2 linked regions of the Drosophila melanogaster genome follow. The protein of the gene in region 2 purifies or fractionates together with the protein of the main gene of each other region. This does not show direct contact. Each region holds a gene or a part of one and is shown on either strand. Other genes may lie near its edges.

Region 1 (7,606 bases), on a different chromosome or scaffold from region 2:
GAGCCATCTTGTTGCCGTTGCCGGTGGCAAAGCCGCAGATGCAGTGCATCTCCTGTGGCATATTCACTTCCATGGCGTCCACAAAGTTTCCATTACATTCCACGCCATGACGGAATTGCGCTCGCTCGCAACATGTCTGATAATTGCACTTAACGCAGTGTAGCCAACCACTGGGAAAAGATTTAATATAAAAAAGTGATTAAATGAGTGCGTAGAGCGCCAAAACCTTTTATTACAAATTATTGCCTCACACATTCTAATGAGTTTTCCCCAAGAGATCAATCAGCCACTATTAAATCAATTAGCTGCTGACTTATAAACCTCAACCCGCGGTTCTGGCTTGTCACAATTGAATCAACCACCATGTGCAAAGTGTTAACCTTATTGGTCGTTATTTTATTACTGGCGCTAACAAACGCTGCTTACAATGTGACATTGTTGAAATCCGTTCTAAGTCTCATCTCTACACGGGAGCCGTGGATAAATACACCAATATTCGTCGGACATAATACGCAAGGAGGCGACCTCAACGACTTGATTATTTGGCTCCATCAAACAATGGGAGTTACTAGCTTGACAATGAATTTATTTCTCCAACCTGAACATATAAGACCCCTTGGTCATTTTAAAATCACTAGATACAATGGCATAGCTTTGTTCTTTTGTCATGATAAACATGATATCATGTGGCTTACTCTGGATAGAAATCTACGAAAACTCCGTCGCATTCGATTGATCATCATTCTGCGTAATCAAAGAAGTGGCTCGCAAGGTGCTATTAAATCAATATTCAACGCCTTATGGCAATATCAATTCCTCAACGTTCTTGTCCTGCAAAGGGATCAGCTTTATTCCTACACTCCGTATCCGGCGATGCGTTTTTTCAAACTCGATATTCATACGGAACCGCTATTTCCACATGCAGCAAGGAATTTCCATGGATATGTAGTATCCACTCCGGCGGAAAATGATATTCCGAGAGTGTTTCATGTGCACGATCCATTAACGAAGAGCAGAAAGGTGCTGGGATACGCATATCGCACATTCGTGGAATATTTGGATCACTATAATGCCTCGCTGCGTTTGACCAATCCAGATGAGAATCTAGACCCAACAACTAGTGTGAATATGAACCACATTGTGCAGTTGATTATAGACGGTCAATTGGAAATCTCTTTGCACCCGTACGTTTTCACACCCCCAACAGCAACCAAGAGTTACCCCTTACTAATATATCCAAACTGCTTGATTGTGCCCATGAGAAATGAGATTCCAAGGCACATGTACCTATTGCGACCATTCCAATTGTACAGCTGGTATATTCTGTTATTCGCAGTTTTCTACATCACTGGAATTCTCTATTGCATAAGCCCGAAACTCAATAAAAGTTCTTGGCCGCAACGCTTGGGATTGAATTTTCTAGATGCGATAAGCAAGATACTTTTTATCAGCCCCCCTATAACAATTTACAGACCAACATGGCGCCATTTGATTATTTTCCTACAACTTTCAGTCCTGGGATTCATGTCCACAAGTTGGTACAACATTGAGTTGGACAGCTTCTTCACAACCATAGTAGTGGGCGAGCAAGTAAATAGCATGGATCAGCTTGTCCACCAGCAGCAAAGGGTGCTCGTCAAGGAGTATGAAATTAACACATTTCTGCGCCATGTTGAACCTCGATTAGTGGAAAAAGTATCTCGGCTTTTGGTGCCTGTAAATGCCAGTGAACAGGTGTCCGCTTTGCTGAGTTTTAATCGCAGCTTCGCGTACCCTTTTACAGAAGAACGTTGGCAGTTTTTTGCCATGCAACAGCAATATGCCTTTAAGCCGATTTTTCGCTTTTCATCTGCTTGCTTGGGATCTCCACATATTGGCTATCCAATGCGCGTTGACAGCCACTTGGAGACATCCCTTAACCATTTCATATTGAAGATTCAGGATACTGGACTGCTGAATCACTGGGTAGTTTCCGACTTTAACGATGCCATGCGTGCTGGATACGTTAGGTTTGTAGATAACGTCCTGGGCTATCAAAGTATCGATGTGGATACTTTGAGACTGGGCTGGTGTGTCTTGGGAATTGGTTGGATACTGTCAGCTCTGGTTTTCTCTTGTGAATACTGGCACCTTTATCCATGGCGATTTATTGCTTAGGTAAATAAAATATTTTTGAACTTACGTGTAATGTGTCTCCTCGCTGGCGAAATCGGTGTTGCACTCGGCACAGGTCTTACCCTCCAGAAAAGCAAAGAATACTGGCCGCTTGTAGGTGGAGAACGGCGGCTGCTCGCGGTGATGGGTGCGAATCTTTGGCGGTGGTATCAACATCGAGTTGTTGAGTAAGAGACGCACCGGTCTATTGGTCTTAGTCATGCTCACATGATGCTGCACTGCGTGCTGCTTTAGATCCCCCTTCTCGAGGAAGGATAGCGAGCATTTCTGGCAGCGCAGCGAGGGATCACGCTTGTTGATGTGCTCGTCCAAATGCATGAAGTAATGTTCTATGCGCAGCTGGTTAACGACGCCAAGCTTTGAGAAGTAGAAAATCTAAAAAGAATCAGTTTTTAATAGAGAGAACTTTACAAGATTACTTTACCATGACAGCTACTTACATCCAAGCAATAGGGGCACTGTAAAAAGTTTTGATGCTTGTGGTCGTCATAAAAATGCCTGACCAAATCGCGGTGCGAAGATGATCGATAGCCGCAGGAGTGACACCAATATGGTAGTTCCAGGGTGCTGTGGACCTTCTGCAAATGAGCCGTCAACAGATGCAGGGAATTGTGACGCTGCTGGCATATTAGGCAGTAGTACGAGGGTGAACCCTCCGTTTTTGTCTCAGTTGGATGCATGATCTGGTTGTGTTTGGCCAAAACCGACTCGGTGGGATGCTTCTCCAAGCAAAAAAGGCACTGGAACTGGTGCTGCTTACCCTCTGGCGAAATATGCGATACTAAATGCGTTTGGAGTTTCTCATTGGAATCGAAGGAGTCGCCGTTCAGGCAGATTGGACACTCCACGGTCTTGGCCAGTTCGTTGTGAACCGTACGGGGTGTGCTATATGGAAAGATCTCGTGGTACTCGTCCGTACCATCACTTATTCCATAGTACAGCTCCTCCAAGCCCCTTAGATCATCCTCTTCTTTCTTAATGACCATTGGAATCTTTTCATCTTTTTCTTTCGGTTTTTTACCAAGGCCTTTAGCTATCAGAGATTTAGACAGTGATTTAGATGACGAGGTCGTTGCTCTGTCTCCTTTTGTCTGGTTGGTACTGCCCGGCGGCCGACCTGGACCCTTTTTAATTGGCAATTGAGGTGGTGGGGTGCCTAATGCATTCGGTGGACGGCCGCGCTTGACTCCAGATGATGCTATATCACGATCCTTTTCCTTCTTGGGAATCTTGTTAGAAACAACGTAGTCAGCATCGTTGATAGCTGCAATTGAAGATGTTAACTTAAAAAGATGTAATCTCAACATACAAACTTAAACATTACATATTTGTCCATTTTTGTTGAATCTGGTGGAATGGGTCCAATCAATTTAATTAGTAAATTCTTTCTTGCGTTTTATCACTCCAAATGAAAAAGGAAATCAAATAAAAACAGTTATTAAATTTCTTGCAAGTTTATTTATGGTTTCTCTAATGGGGTTGTTTTAAAATAATTAGACACGAGAAATGTCAGGAAGTAATGCTTAAATTGTACATATGTGAATATATCAATGATACATTTCACCTATATAGATTATATAAATTCACAATTCACATAACACAATAAGTGGACCTGAGCTCAGCTGTTGGGTTCGATTAACCAAAACTAATCAAACAAAACGAAAACATTTCAGTTTGGAGTGAGAAACGCAGGCACTTAACAGATTATCATAACGCACTATTCTATTCACGGCCTAAATAAAAACTTGCTACAAAAGTACGATAGTACTAACGTTTCTTGAGGCGCTTGGGAGCAGCATTGGCAGGTGTCTCCTTGTAGTTGGCCGGCAAAATACTCCAGTCCTTGAACGGATTGGTTGCCACCTAAACGAAAGAGCTATTAAAGGCTAATCGCTAATAAAAATTTTTCGATTCTGCTTACCTGATACAGACGCTGAGTGATTGTCTCATTGGTGGTTACTCTTGTCTGCTCGGCAATGTGTATTATGATATTGTTGAATGCCTGCAAGGCATATGTACCAAAGGACTCTCGCCATACCAACTCGTCGAGGAATTGTTGAATCATCTGGCGAGATAGCAACGATAGGGTGTTCTGGAACATGCGCGGCACAATCCGTCGCAAATATTCCATTACCGCTGAGTTGTTGTGCTTGGCTGTGTTGTCAGTGGCAGCTGCTTGGACAATATTTTTGAATCCCATGCTGAAGAGGGTGATCTTGTCGACAGTCAAGTCTATACAAATGGTGCTGTCCTTGTGCACCCAGCGCGACAGTGGCTCAAGAATGGCCTGGAATCGCTTTTTGTAGTTACGATCACCATCGGTGATTGGCTCTACAGCCCGCAGTCGGATGGACTTCTCCGCATAATCATAGACGCCCAGAACCTCAACTTTCACTTGTCGCTGGGAGCCATCTTGGGATGTGGTTCCTAGGGAAATAACACCCACCTCCACAAACTTGCCGGGACCGCCCAGCTTCTTGCATTTTTGATGCACTGCCAAAGTGCAAATGGCTCTAAGCCAGGTGTAGATTCCTTTGATATAAACACTGTCCACCTTAACCCACTGCACCACATTTTGAATACTGGTCTGGCAAGCCCAGTGGTAAATTAACTTCAACAGGAATGTGGGTGGGTGCTGAGCTCCTTCGAAAATGGAATTGTTGAACACGGAGACGAAGCGGTAGGGGCAACATTCGCTGATCCACACATAGCCACCAGTGTAGGGAAACTTGGTCACATCCGAATAAATTCCTAAATATAAATACATTAATAAACGAATTCAGTTGATCATATATCTCTTACCCAATTTGAGCTCGTTGTTGCGATGGTTTATGCAATGCTGTTGAGCGCGTAGCAATCCCTCCTGGAGCAGCCACTCGCAGAATTTATTGGGCGTAAGCATGAGCACCAGCTTAACCTTCGAGTCCAGCTTGCTGCGGGTGGCAGCCATGTCTTTGATCTTGAGAAAAGGCTTTGCTAGCACCACCAGAGATGGATATGTCTTTCCTTGCATCTTGTTATCCTTGCCATCCTTGCCGTCTTTGCTATCCTTGCTTTCGTCGGTGCTGCCCACCACCAGACCGCCCACCGAATTAACCTCGGCGGGGCGGTAGTTCTTCGGCGGCGATTCGATGTCCGGTTTGGATTCCTTAAATAGTTTTCCACTGCTCTTAGGTACCGGTGAAGAAGATCCTCCACTAGCAGCGGATGCAGCCTTCTTACTGGATTTCGGGGTGAACGAGGAAGATGCATTGGCCACGGCCACTGCTTTTTTGCCTGCAGACAGCGCCAGTCGCTTGGCCAGCGGCATATCGTCGTCTCCCTCATCGGAGGACTCCAGGTAGGCGATGTTGGATGGTTGTCGTGGTGGGCGGCCACGACCCCGCCCTGTGCCACCGCTTTGGGCGGCGGGTGTTGAGGGAGAGTCCGTCGGCTTGGGTGGTTTTTTGGGCAGCGTAGCCTCCTTGAGCTCCTGCAGCACTTTGCCCTTAAAGGAGTAGGCCTGGAACACCTGGCCGTTAAACAGCTCCTTGCCCTCGTTGGCGCTAACCGCGTTCTTTAGTGCACCCTTCACCGCGTTGTGCTCGTTAGTAATCTTCTCGTAGTACGCCAATTGTGCCGGCGACAGCTCCTCCACCCAGAACTCCATGTCCAGGGAGATTTCACTTCTCGTTACGCGCGTCATCTTACAGCTAACTAGTTAACCGACCACTGGCCCAGCGAGGGCGTTGTTTTTAAAAATATTAAGAGCTAAGTAAATTTTTTTTCGCTCGAATTAGCTTTCCTTGCGTGGATGTACCTGCTCGAGTAAATAACATCGATGAAAACATCGATAATATCGGCTTGGGTATTGTCGTGACACACGCACAGTGGTGCACCACACATCGGTTCGTTAAAATATAAACAAATATAAATCAAATTTTTGTATTTAAAAAAAAGTGTTAACGTAAACTGGTCAATTTTATATTCTGCTAATAAGAACAAGAATAAAATTTTTTTACAATTAAGGAATATCATAACAAGAATTGATTTAACGTATAAATAAATGCCATGAATATATTTTCCCACCTAAATATACATTACAGATATTTTTTACTATGATCAGTATGTTGCGGACTATCGACTACCACAAAAAACGCTGAAAGTCTATCGATGATTTTACAAGATGCTTCATCCCTGAAAGTTGGCGCGCAATTCAAACTAAGAGTGCAAAATATTTCTCAACAGTACACAATCAGCAAATAAAATAAAAATATCTAGTACAGCTTATATTTTATTATATTACACTTAATATAATCCATTGTATTTAGCAGGTGCACTTATAAGGCAAAAAATGTTAGCAGGCTAGTTCGTTTTGCGTTGTTCAGTCACCGTGAAGTGTCACCAAATCAATTTGAATTTATGACCACTCGTATATTATCGGTTCATTAGCTACCAAAAGCCCCCGTTGAAGTGGTGACCAATGGAACTTTTTTTATCACAATGTCACAAAAACGTATGTCGCTTTTTTTTATTTCCAGCGCACATTTATGCATTATTTATGTCGTTAATTACCCGATCATAAAGAATTTCTTTAATATTCAGTCCCCACAGAAAGTCGATATGATTCCACTTTTCTTCCGGCATGCGATATGCGCTTTTCAGGGCGCTCGGGTTCATGGTATACCTAAGGCGATCCACGTCAATCAGACTAGCAAAGTAGTCGTTGTCAGAGTAATAGAGATAGGTGGGCACATCGATGCCCTCCACATCGTACTCCGGCGGGGTCTTGCTGCTGTACTCCTTCTTGTTGCGCGTAGATCCGTAGTCGAATTGCCGGAAGTATCCGGAATTGTACTCCTGCAGGTAGTGGAAGATCTGATTTACTGAGCATCCCGCCGGAGTGGTGGCCATAATATCTGGGAGCAGGGTCTCGTTGATATATGGCGAGTTCCAGCCGCCCAGCAGGAATAGGGTGTTGGTGCACATGAACTGTGAAATGGCCTCATCGCTGCAGAGGAGAGCCCCGAACAGGTTCATTAGCTGTGTATTTGGCAAAAATTCGGCGCTGCCGAAGAGCTCGACGAAGGCATTGGGCTGACCAAGCAGTGGTCCACCGACCGTGGCCAAAGGACTCTCCATATGCTCCATCCAGGCCACAGGAGCGAGCAAATGAGCAGATCGAATGCGACTCTTGAAGCGCGGAATCATAGAGTTGAGCACAAAAAAGGATGTGGTTCCTTGAGAGTGACCCACATACGTAAGTTGAGTCACATTTGTCCAGTAAAGGACGTAATCCATCATAGCGGGCAGATCATAGATTCCGATATCGTGCCACTCAAAATTCCAGAAGGGCTGCAGCAGCGGCGACTTGCTGGCGTGTCTTTTGGAGTAGGTGTTGCCTCTGGCATTACCCATCCACACATCGTAGCCCGCTTCGGACAGCAGGTAT
Region 2 (7,960 bases):
GACTCATTTCAAGTTGATTCAACTTACGCGAATCGTTGTAAAGCACGGAGAACTTGCGCGCCACCTCGTCAAGGCACTCGGTAAACCGCTCGTAGTACGGATCATAGAATATGTTGTCTATGCGTCCATTCACATACAGATATTGCTGAATGCCTGAAGGAAGAGATTCCAATAAAATCAAATGGTACATGTGTAAACCTGGGGAGTAACTACATACCCAACACAAGGTAGTAGATGGTGTCCGGCGCGTATTCCGTCCCGTTGGGCTTGCGCACTTCCTTGACGAAGAGGCAAAGCGAGTAGTTCAACTCGTCGGCGGTCATTTGAAGCAGCTCCGTCTTGAAGGGCCGCCGGCGCATCGAGCTCTTCTCGATGTCCGCGTTCTTCGTCATCACCCACTGCTTCCATGCGTTCACCCCGAAGGTGTACTTCAGGAACATTTGGGCGTCGGGCTTCTCCTGCGGCTGCTGTGCCTGCTGCGACTGCTGCTGCAGGGCCGAGTGATCCATCTCGCCGCCGCGCTGCCTTTTCACCGGCGAGCGGCTGTTGCGGTTGGGTGGGTCCATGACGACGCCTACGCCGCGCTTGCGTCCACGTGCGGTTCTGAAAGTCATCACATTTAAGTACTTGAGTATTGATCTCTGATTGCCATCTCTCTTAACTCACCGCTGCGTGGCATCAAGCATGTGATGCTGCTGATCTAGATGATGTACTCCCATTTGACCCATTCCGTCGTGACCCATCGGCGACTGGCTGCTGATCGTATTCGCCGTCATCGACGTTTCCAGATCCACCGTCGAGGTCTGGTGATGATTGTCGTAGTCGCCTGTGGCCATCTTGAGGGCTATCTGCAGCATATCGTCGCCGTAGGGATTATGTCCGGCTCCGCTAACGTCCACCACTTGCTGTTGTTGCTGCTGTTGGGCGACGGACTCGAGGCTGTTCTGGTACTGCAGAGCTACCAGGCCCGGATCCGGCTTGATCTCGTTGTCCGAATCGGAGTCCGATTCGTGCTTCTCCTCTGCCACCATCTCGGCCATCATAAGCAACTCCGCCTCCAGTGGATCCTCTGGCATCTTGTCCTGTATCTTCTTGATCTCCTTAAGTATGCCTTGCGCGGTGTTGCGCGTGGTGGGTATGAAAATAGGCACCGGGATTGGCAGCGGAATGGGCACTGGTACGGGGAACGGAGCCGAGTACATGTACATGGGTTGCGGCACGAAGATGGGCACCGGAACCGGGATGAGCACCTTGTTGGAGTAGTCTTTCTCCGTCTGGGTGGCGCAATCCCGCACATCCGGACTACACTGCTCGCCCTGGGTCACCGTTAAGGGCTTACAGCTTATGTTCACGTTTCGCACAGCCTTGGGATATGGTGGCACTGTGATGATCTTGGTCTCCGTTACCGTAGCCGGCCCGAAATCCATAGTCGTGGTAGTATTTCGCCTGACCGGAATGCCCATGTGGGAGCTGCCACCTGACATCGTGGGCGATGGTGAACGCGCCGAGTAGTCTACAGCGTGCTTGCGTGGCCTTCCTCGCTGTGCTGGCGGATGGACACCCGGCATGGACAGCGGCGGTGATGAGGTTCCCGATTCCCGTGGACGTCCACGCTTGCGACGAACCGTCAGATTGCCGATCCGGGCTTCGGTTTCGCCGCTGGCGAGCGATTGCACCGTGGATATAACCGGTAGCATGGTGCCGGAGCCGGATTTCTTGCCTCCAACGCCACCTTTTCCAGTCTGCAATTATCGGGGACATTAATTATATGCAACTTAGGTATGATACTTAATTAATTTACGTTAATTCCCATTTTGGTGGACATTGAATGAAATTAGGATTGCAATTGAAACTTGAATTGAAAGCCAAATTGAAGTAAATGTATTAATAATTAAGCGAGCAGGTAAAAAAAATTGCAAATACTTCGTTTACGTTCAATATTTTAACACTTATTGCATGGCTATCATTCGATTGTAAAAACTTAAAAAAAACCCAGTGTGTACCCTTTTAGTTTATTATTTAGTTTTTGACTCACGTGGGAGAGCTTCAGTTTGACACGTTTGGGCAGGCCCGTGGGAAATGGTGCCGCATTCTTGTTGCCTCGATTGGATTGCTGCTGGGACTTGGAGCTGCCGGCGCTACTGGGCGGTAGGTCGCTGTCCAGCGTGAGGGGAGCGCGGGCGAACTGATTCTGGAACTGCATCACACACTGGTAGGTGCAAAAGTTGCGCATGGAAGCATCCGACATGGTCAAATGATACTGTGGCGTATTGAAGTTGGAACAATTGTCGCATTTGGTAACCGCCCTGGCGGAGATGTTGCAGCTAACGCCGTGCATGGTCAGGCAGTTGATGGAGCAGGTGAGCGTCTCCTGATCGTGCGGCCCACCAATCTGATAGATCATGTCAAAGTTGTACTTCTTCACCTTGCACCACTGGCAGGAGACGATGTGCCTGTTGACGATGATGTACACATTTATGCAGACCCGCGAGCAGAAGACCTTCGGTGACTGCTGTTCGTTGTAGATGGTGTAGGACTCGGCGCTCCGCCGCTCAAAGTATTTGGAGCACATGGCACACGGATCAGCGTTCACGTTGCTCACAAACTTAAAGGCGGAGAAGCAGGGATTCGAGCAGAAGTAGTGCTCTCTGTCCTCCAGCAGCATCTCCACCCTCACTGGCTTCTGGTTGTTGCACACACCGCAGACATCGGTGCGTAGTTTTCGTCGGGGATTGCACATGCTTTCGTAGCGACGGAGGCAGGATTGCGAACAGAAGTCCTTGAACTGATCCTTGTCACCCACCGGGGCAAGGAAGCCCTCCTGCCCGCCGCTGATGTCCTTCTGGCAGCAGGAGCACGTCTTCAGACCCTTCTTAAAGGTGTTAAGGCAGCCGGCGCAGCAGAACTGCCGCACATCGAAACCGAATCGCACGCAGTACTTGCCAAGCGCTATGGAGCTCACCTCCTGCTTGCAGGTCTCGCAGGTGGAGCCAATGGTGCGCTGATAGCTGCCCAGGCACACCTCATTGCAGAAGTCCATGGTCTCCCACATGAGCTGCTTCTCGTCCGTATTGATATCCGCCTCGCAGTCGGCGCAGCGCCTTCGGAAGCTTTCGATCCTGTCCAGGCGCGCCGTCTCTGCCTCCTCCACCGTCCTGGCCACCACGCTGCCGTCGGTCCGTTTGGTGGGCGAATTTTGCGGTGGCTGCAGCGTTGTGGCGCCAATGTTGCGCACTCGAATCGAGTGCCGCTTCAGCTTGAATTTATCTGGCTCCTCAGCGTTGAGCAGATTGAAGCAATCGTCATTGCAAATGTAGAAGCAGTCCTGGTCCTGTTTAATGAAATATTTGCACCGCGTCTTATCCTTGCACTGCAGGCAATCTTGCGTGTTGGCTGGAGTAGCTTCCTCCTCGGCATCTCCGCCCTCGCCATCGGCGCTAGCCTCCGCTTCGGCGGCGCCTTCTTCTCGAACCACTTCCTCGACCAGGAACTTCTTGCGGCGTACAAAGTACTTGCCGGGTTGATCTTCTAGCAGGGCGTCGACACAGGCGGTATCGCAGATGTACTCGAACCCACTGGGAGCAGCAGGCTTTTGCCGAGCCTCCTCCTCCTCCCCCTCCTCAGCGTTCTCCTCTGCCTTATCGTTTTCCTTCTCCTTATCCATTTCTTCTGACTCCTCTGGACTCCTGTACCGAAACCCACAATTCTTTTCATCGCCACACTGTTTGCACTTCTGAACGCTGCCAACGATCCAACTAATGATGATTTTCGGCGTGGAACCAGGTTCACCCGCTCCGGCACTGGAGGATTCCTCGGCTGTGGGCTCGTCGGGATCGGGAACATCGCCACCGGCCTCCTCTTCGTTAGCTGCTGCAGCTACTCCATCTGCTGGCAAAAAAAGGGGATTTACGTTATATACATTTTAATAAGCAATCGTTCTGTATGCTAGGAGCCAATTTTGTAATAACAAACTAAATTTAAAGCAAGAATTAAATGAATAGAATGCAGTCGAATGAAGCAGTTAGTGAGTTTTGCCCAGGAATTAACCCAATCTGCTCACCTTCTGCAATGCCTGTTGCCGCCGACTTAGCTCCAGCTTGAGCATCTGCAGGCAAAATGGATAGAGTAGATGTGGGATAGGGCATTTCAAGTCTTAGTGTGGAGCACTTACCAGTTGGCGTGGTTGGAGATACGTCGGTGGCGTCAACGGCAGCTGCACTGTCGTCTTCTGGATCGGCGGCGGCATCTGCCGGGGACTTTCTATCGTTATCGGGTGTCTTGGCTTGCCGCTCCTCGGCTTCCTCCTCTTCGGCGGCCTTCTCGGCATTCTCGCGGGCCAGTTCCTTCTCAGCTTCAGTCACTTCCGTTTCTTGATCATCGGGAATAAGGCAAACATCTGATTCCTCTGGCTCCAAAACATTTTCCACTGTGTCTATAATGTAAATAGTTCATTCATTTAGTCTTTTATAAACATGCATCAAAGAAGTACTAAGACTTACCATCGCCATGTTCGGCCTCACCAGTTTCCTCGGCATTTTCATCCACCTGCTCCGATTCCGCATCTCCTTCTGCATCCGGATCATCTTCATCGGCGGCCGCATCTTTCTCCCGTTCATCAGGATCTTGGCCATTTTCCTGCTCCTCTAAGCTTGTGTCCACCTCATCTCGGCCCTCCGGTGGCTCTGCATCCTCCGCCTGGTGTGAATCTGCGCCCACGGACTGCATATCTACATCATCTGTCGCCTCTCGATCCAGAGCTGCGTCGTCTTCTGCTTCCTGCTCAGCTTCACCTTCTGCATCCACCTCGCCTTCATCCACATCCATTGCTTCGGGTGAAGCGGGACCGCCGTCCACAGCATCTGCTTCGGCGGCCGCTGCCTCCACCTCTTCCGCAGTGGCCTGGAGGGCATCAGTCTCCTCCTCCGCCTCCTCGGGCTCTTCCTGTGGATCTACCCTCACGGCTTCTGTTTGTGGCTGCTCATCCTCACCGCCTTGCGGCTCCTCGTTGGGCGTTGGCTCCTCGGCGGGCTCCTCCGCATCCACGGGATCAGCTGGTGTACTAGCCGCCTTATCCCGCGACTGGTTATCATCGGCGTCTAATGATCCCTCGGAGATCTGTTCGAAGTCGTCATCCGCCTCCTTGGAAGGAGGCGGTTTGCTTTCCTGCGCAGCTGCATCCTCCGCTGGCGGCGAGGCGGGCGTATCCAGAGTTTCACTGGCCGCCGGAGCAGTCTGTTGTCGATCCTGATCCTGTTGTTCCTCCGACCTGGGGGTGGCCGACTCCGGTCGCGCATTGGAATCGGCGCCGAACGAGTCCAAACTGGATATCTCCTCCATTTCGCTGCTTGATTTTTTAACCGACTTTCGCTGTACGTTTGTTTATATAGACATGAAAACTGCAACAAAAGGAAAACAAACAACAAATGGTTAGGGCTCGTCTATCGATAACATTCGCGGCGCGGCGGACTATCGGCTGGCCAGGGCCCCACACCATTGCCGCCTAAAATGTGTACACACACACGCACAGGCACACCGACGCACACACACACACACTGAGCCCACGGTACAGTGCACGAAAAAACAAAACATGCGCCTCCAGAGAACAAAAAAAGTGGGGAAAAAAGGAGGAGTGTGTCTGTATGCGCCGCTCTGCCAGGCAATTAATATTACTGCACTTGCATTATCTTTTTTGGCCGCGTTGCATGGGCGGCTTTTCCGTACTTTTTTTGCTGCCTTGCCGTACGGTACTTCGATAATCCGCAATCCGAGCGCCGACTTTTTTTTTCGGACAGCACGAGTTTGTTGTGGTGAGCGCGTCTCCACAGGCGAATTAACTGCCTTTCACCGCTGCGCGTGCGGGCACATCATTAACGGTCGGTTCACGGTACGCGCAAAACTTTTCATCAATTACCAAACACCTTTTTGCACTGTGCAATTTCTCGCTTTCTGGCCACTGTGTGAATTTTCGGCTTTATGCGAGTAAAATGGCGCACTAGTGTACCAAATGCGGCCCTCGCATAACGCGTTCGCTTCTTGGCTGGTATCTGCCGGAAAATACCGAAAATGGCGCATAAGAAAATACCGGCGTGAGTGGTGCAACCGGTTGGCAGCACTGCTCGTTTATCTTTTTGAAAAATGCTTCTAAAGTTTGGATCGCTTTTGATCAATAGGAAATTATTGAAAACTACAACTTAAATATAGACTGTCTTTCATCTAAGCTTCCCCTTAGATGAGCTTCCAGTTTGCCATATGCAAAAGATACCCAATACAATGCTAATGAGAACTGATATTTTATTGGCTTATTTTTTTTAAATTTTTGGGTTTTATGCGCGAAGCTTTTGGGAATTCCAAGTAGTTTTCTAGTTTTGATTGATGAATCCCTCGGCGTCCAGAAGAACATTGGGGAAATACTTGATAATTTTGGTGAAGTGCGGGAATTTTTGCGTGTTGGCGAATGTAATCTCATTGATCTCCTGATACTGCTTTAAAATCGTGATGAGTTCATCGGGAGGCACTGCATCCGCCACCAGCCAGTGCTGGATGGCGTAGTTTAGAGCATAGACCGGGAGTTTCATTAAACTGGGTTCGTGGATCAATGATGCGCCTTCCTCTATGATTTTCTAAAGGATAACTAACTAAATTAAGGCTCCATTTTATATTCCAATCTACTAACCTCGATGCAAACGCGCTCCACATCGATGATGTTATGCCGGAATGCTAGGTCGAAGGCAGGAAAGATGCCATCCAGAGGCAATTCCTGCTCCTTTAGTTTCTCAGCAAAGGAGCGAAGGAGCTCCGGCATGTTGTACGCGCAGGACAGGATGAACATATCCCCCACCAGCTTCAGCTGGACCAGCGGCGAGGTCACCTCGAAGGTGTATATGAACTCCAGGAAGATCTCCACGCTCTCGGGCGAAACCCCATTGATCTGGAGTACGCCGTTCCAGTCCTTGTTCTGGTACACGTCCTGCTCCAGTTTGTCGGAGGCAGTGGCCAGGAAGATCCGATGGCAGCCAAATTTCTTGTAGCACACACTGACCGCCGGCTCATCGGATTGGGGGCAGTTGCTCAGGACGTGCACCTGGCAATCGGCATCGGCTCCACTGCGAAAGTATTCCAGTCTGCGGTTTCTACTCGTAGCGCGTTTGGACCCATCACTCGGAGAACCCAATGGTAAATTCTCCTCAACATCCGATGCAGCTGTGGTTCTGGGCACAACGAGTTCCGGCCTCAAGTTCTGGATCCCTCCCTGGTCGTTCGCCTCACCCTCCTCCTCCTCCTCCAGGTCGGACCACCGATTGTTGCTTCCCAGGTGGGCTTTGCCGGCGGCCTCCTTCTCAGAGTCTGACATTCCTGCCAGGGAAACCCTAATTTCGAATTCCAAATTTTGTGCTATGTGAGAGCAAAGCCTCCAAAAAATCCCCAGTCACTATGAACTGCAAGCTACGCCGCCTGGACCTGTTGCGGAATGGCCAAAAGTCGGACTGCGAGCTCCATGTCTCGCAACCGGACAAGTTGAAGGAGGGCAAGCGTTGTCCATGCATTTTCCGCTGCCACCAGGTGATGCTCATCTCCGCCTCCGCGGAGTTCGAGCGCCTGATCAGGGATCCCGAGTTCCAGAAGAACAAGCGAGTGATCAGCGTGGACGACGCCTCTCCCACCGCCTACGAGGCGTTGCTCCTCTACATCTACACGTACGAGGTGTGCAATGCGGTGACCATCGACATGTGCGGTGACCTCATGCTGCTGGCCGAGCGCTACGAGATGCTGGACTTCATCGACTGCTACATCGACAAGCTGGCCCACCAGGAGTGGCCCATGGAGGTGGTTCTGCAGGTCTTCCACCTGGCCAGCGAGCACCACCATCCGGCACTGATGGATCTCGTGGCGAAAGTATGAATTTCCGCACTTTTATCTCGCTTAATCCCCATACCATTCCAGAAAATCCTCCCCGTAGCCA

The links.
Region 1: the proteins of woc (region 2) and row purify together in Drosophila melanogaster (affinity purification with western blotting; 3 studies listed by BioGRID, with this or other methods). This does not show direct contact.

The regions. Positions count from the first base shown.
Region 1 is NT_033778.4:15,207,630-15,215,235, forward strand, and holds the start of row (relative of woc), read right to left. Parts: upstream 6,006-7,606; 5' UTR 5,861-6,005; coding exon 4,978-5,860; intron 4,927-4,977; coding exon 4,097-4,926; intron 4,039-4,096; coding exon 3,948-4,038; coding exon of another isoform or gene 3,943-3,947; exon of another isoform or gene 3,616-3,942; intron 3,440-3,615; coding exon 2,616-3,439; intron 2,551-2,615; coding exon 2,183-2,550; intron 2,158-2,182; coding exon of another isoform or gene 364-2,157; intron 171-363; coding exon 1-170. Other genes in the region: Ir51b (ionotropic receptor 51b), read left to right, coding at 364-2,157; CG8093 (uncharacterized protein), read right to left, coding at 6,703-7,606.
Region 2 is NT_033777.3:27,258,056-27,266,015, forward strand, and holds the start of woc (without children), read right to left. Parts: upstream 6,001-7,960; 5' UTR 5,722-6,000; exon of another isoform or gene 5,680-5,721; intron 5,397-5,679; 5' UTR 5,338-5,396; coding exon 4,500-5,337; intron 4,433-4,499; coding exon 4,172-4,432; intron 4,106-4,171; coding exon 4,061-4,105; intron 3,894-4,060; exon of another isoform or gene 3,889-3,893; coding exon 2,036-3,888; exon of another isoform or gene 1,995-2,035; intron 1,931-1,994; exon of another isoform or gene 1,826-1,930; coding exon of another isoform or gene 1,802-1,825; intron 1,743-1,801; coding exon 667-1,742; intron 604-666; coding exon 218-603; intron 154-217; coding exon 28-153; intron 1-27. Other genes in the region: CG14262 (uncharacterized protein), read right to left, coding at 6,360-6,620, 6,674-7,351; CG14260 (uncharacterized protein), read left to right, coding at 7,432-7,893, 7,942-7,960.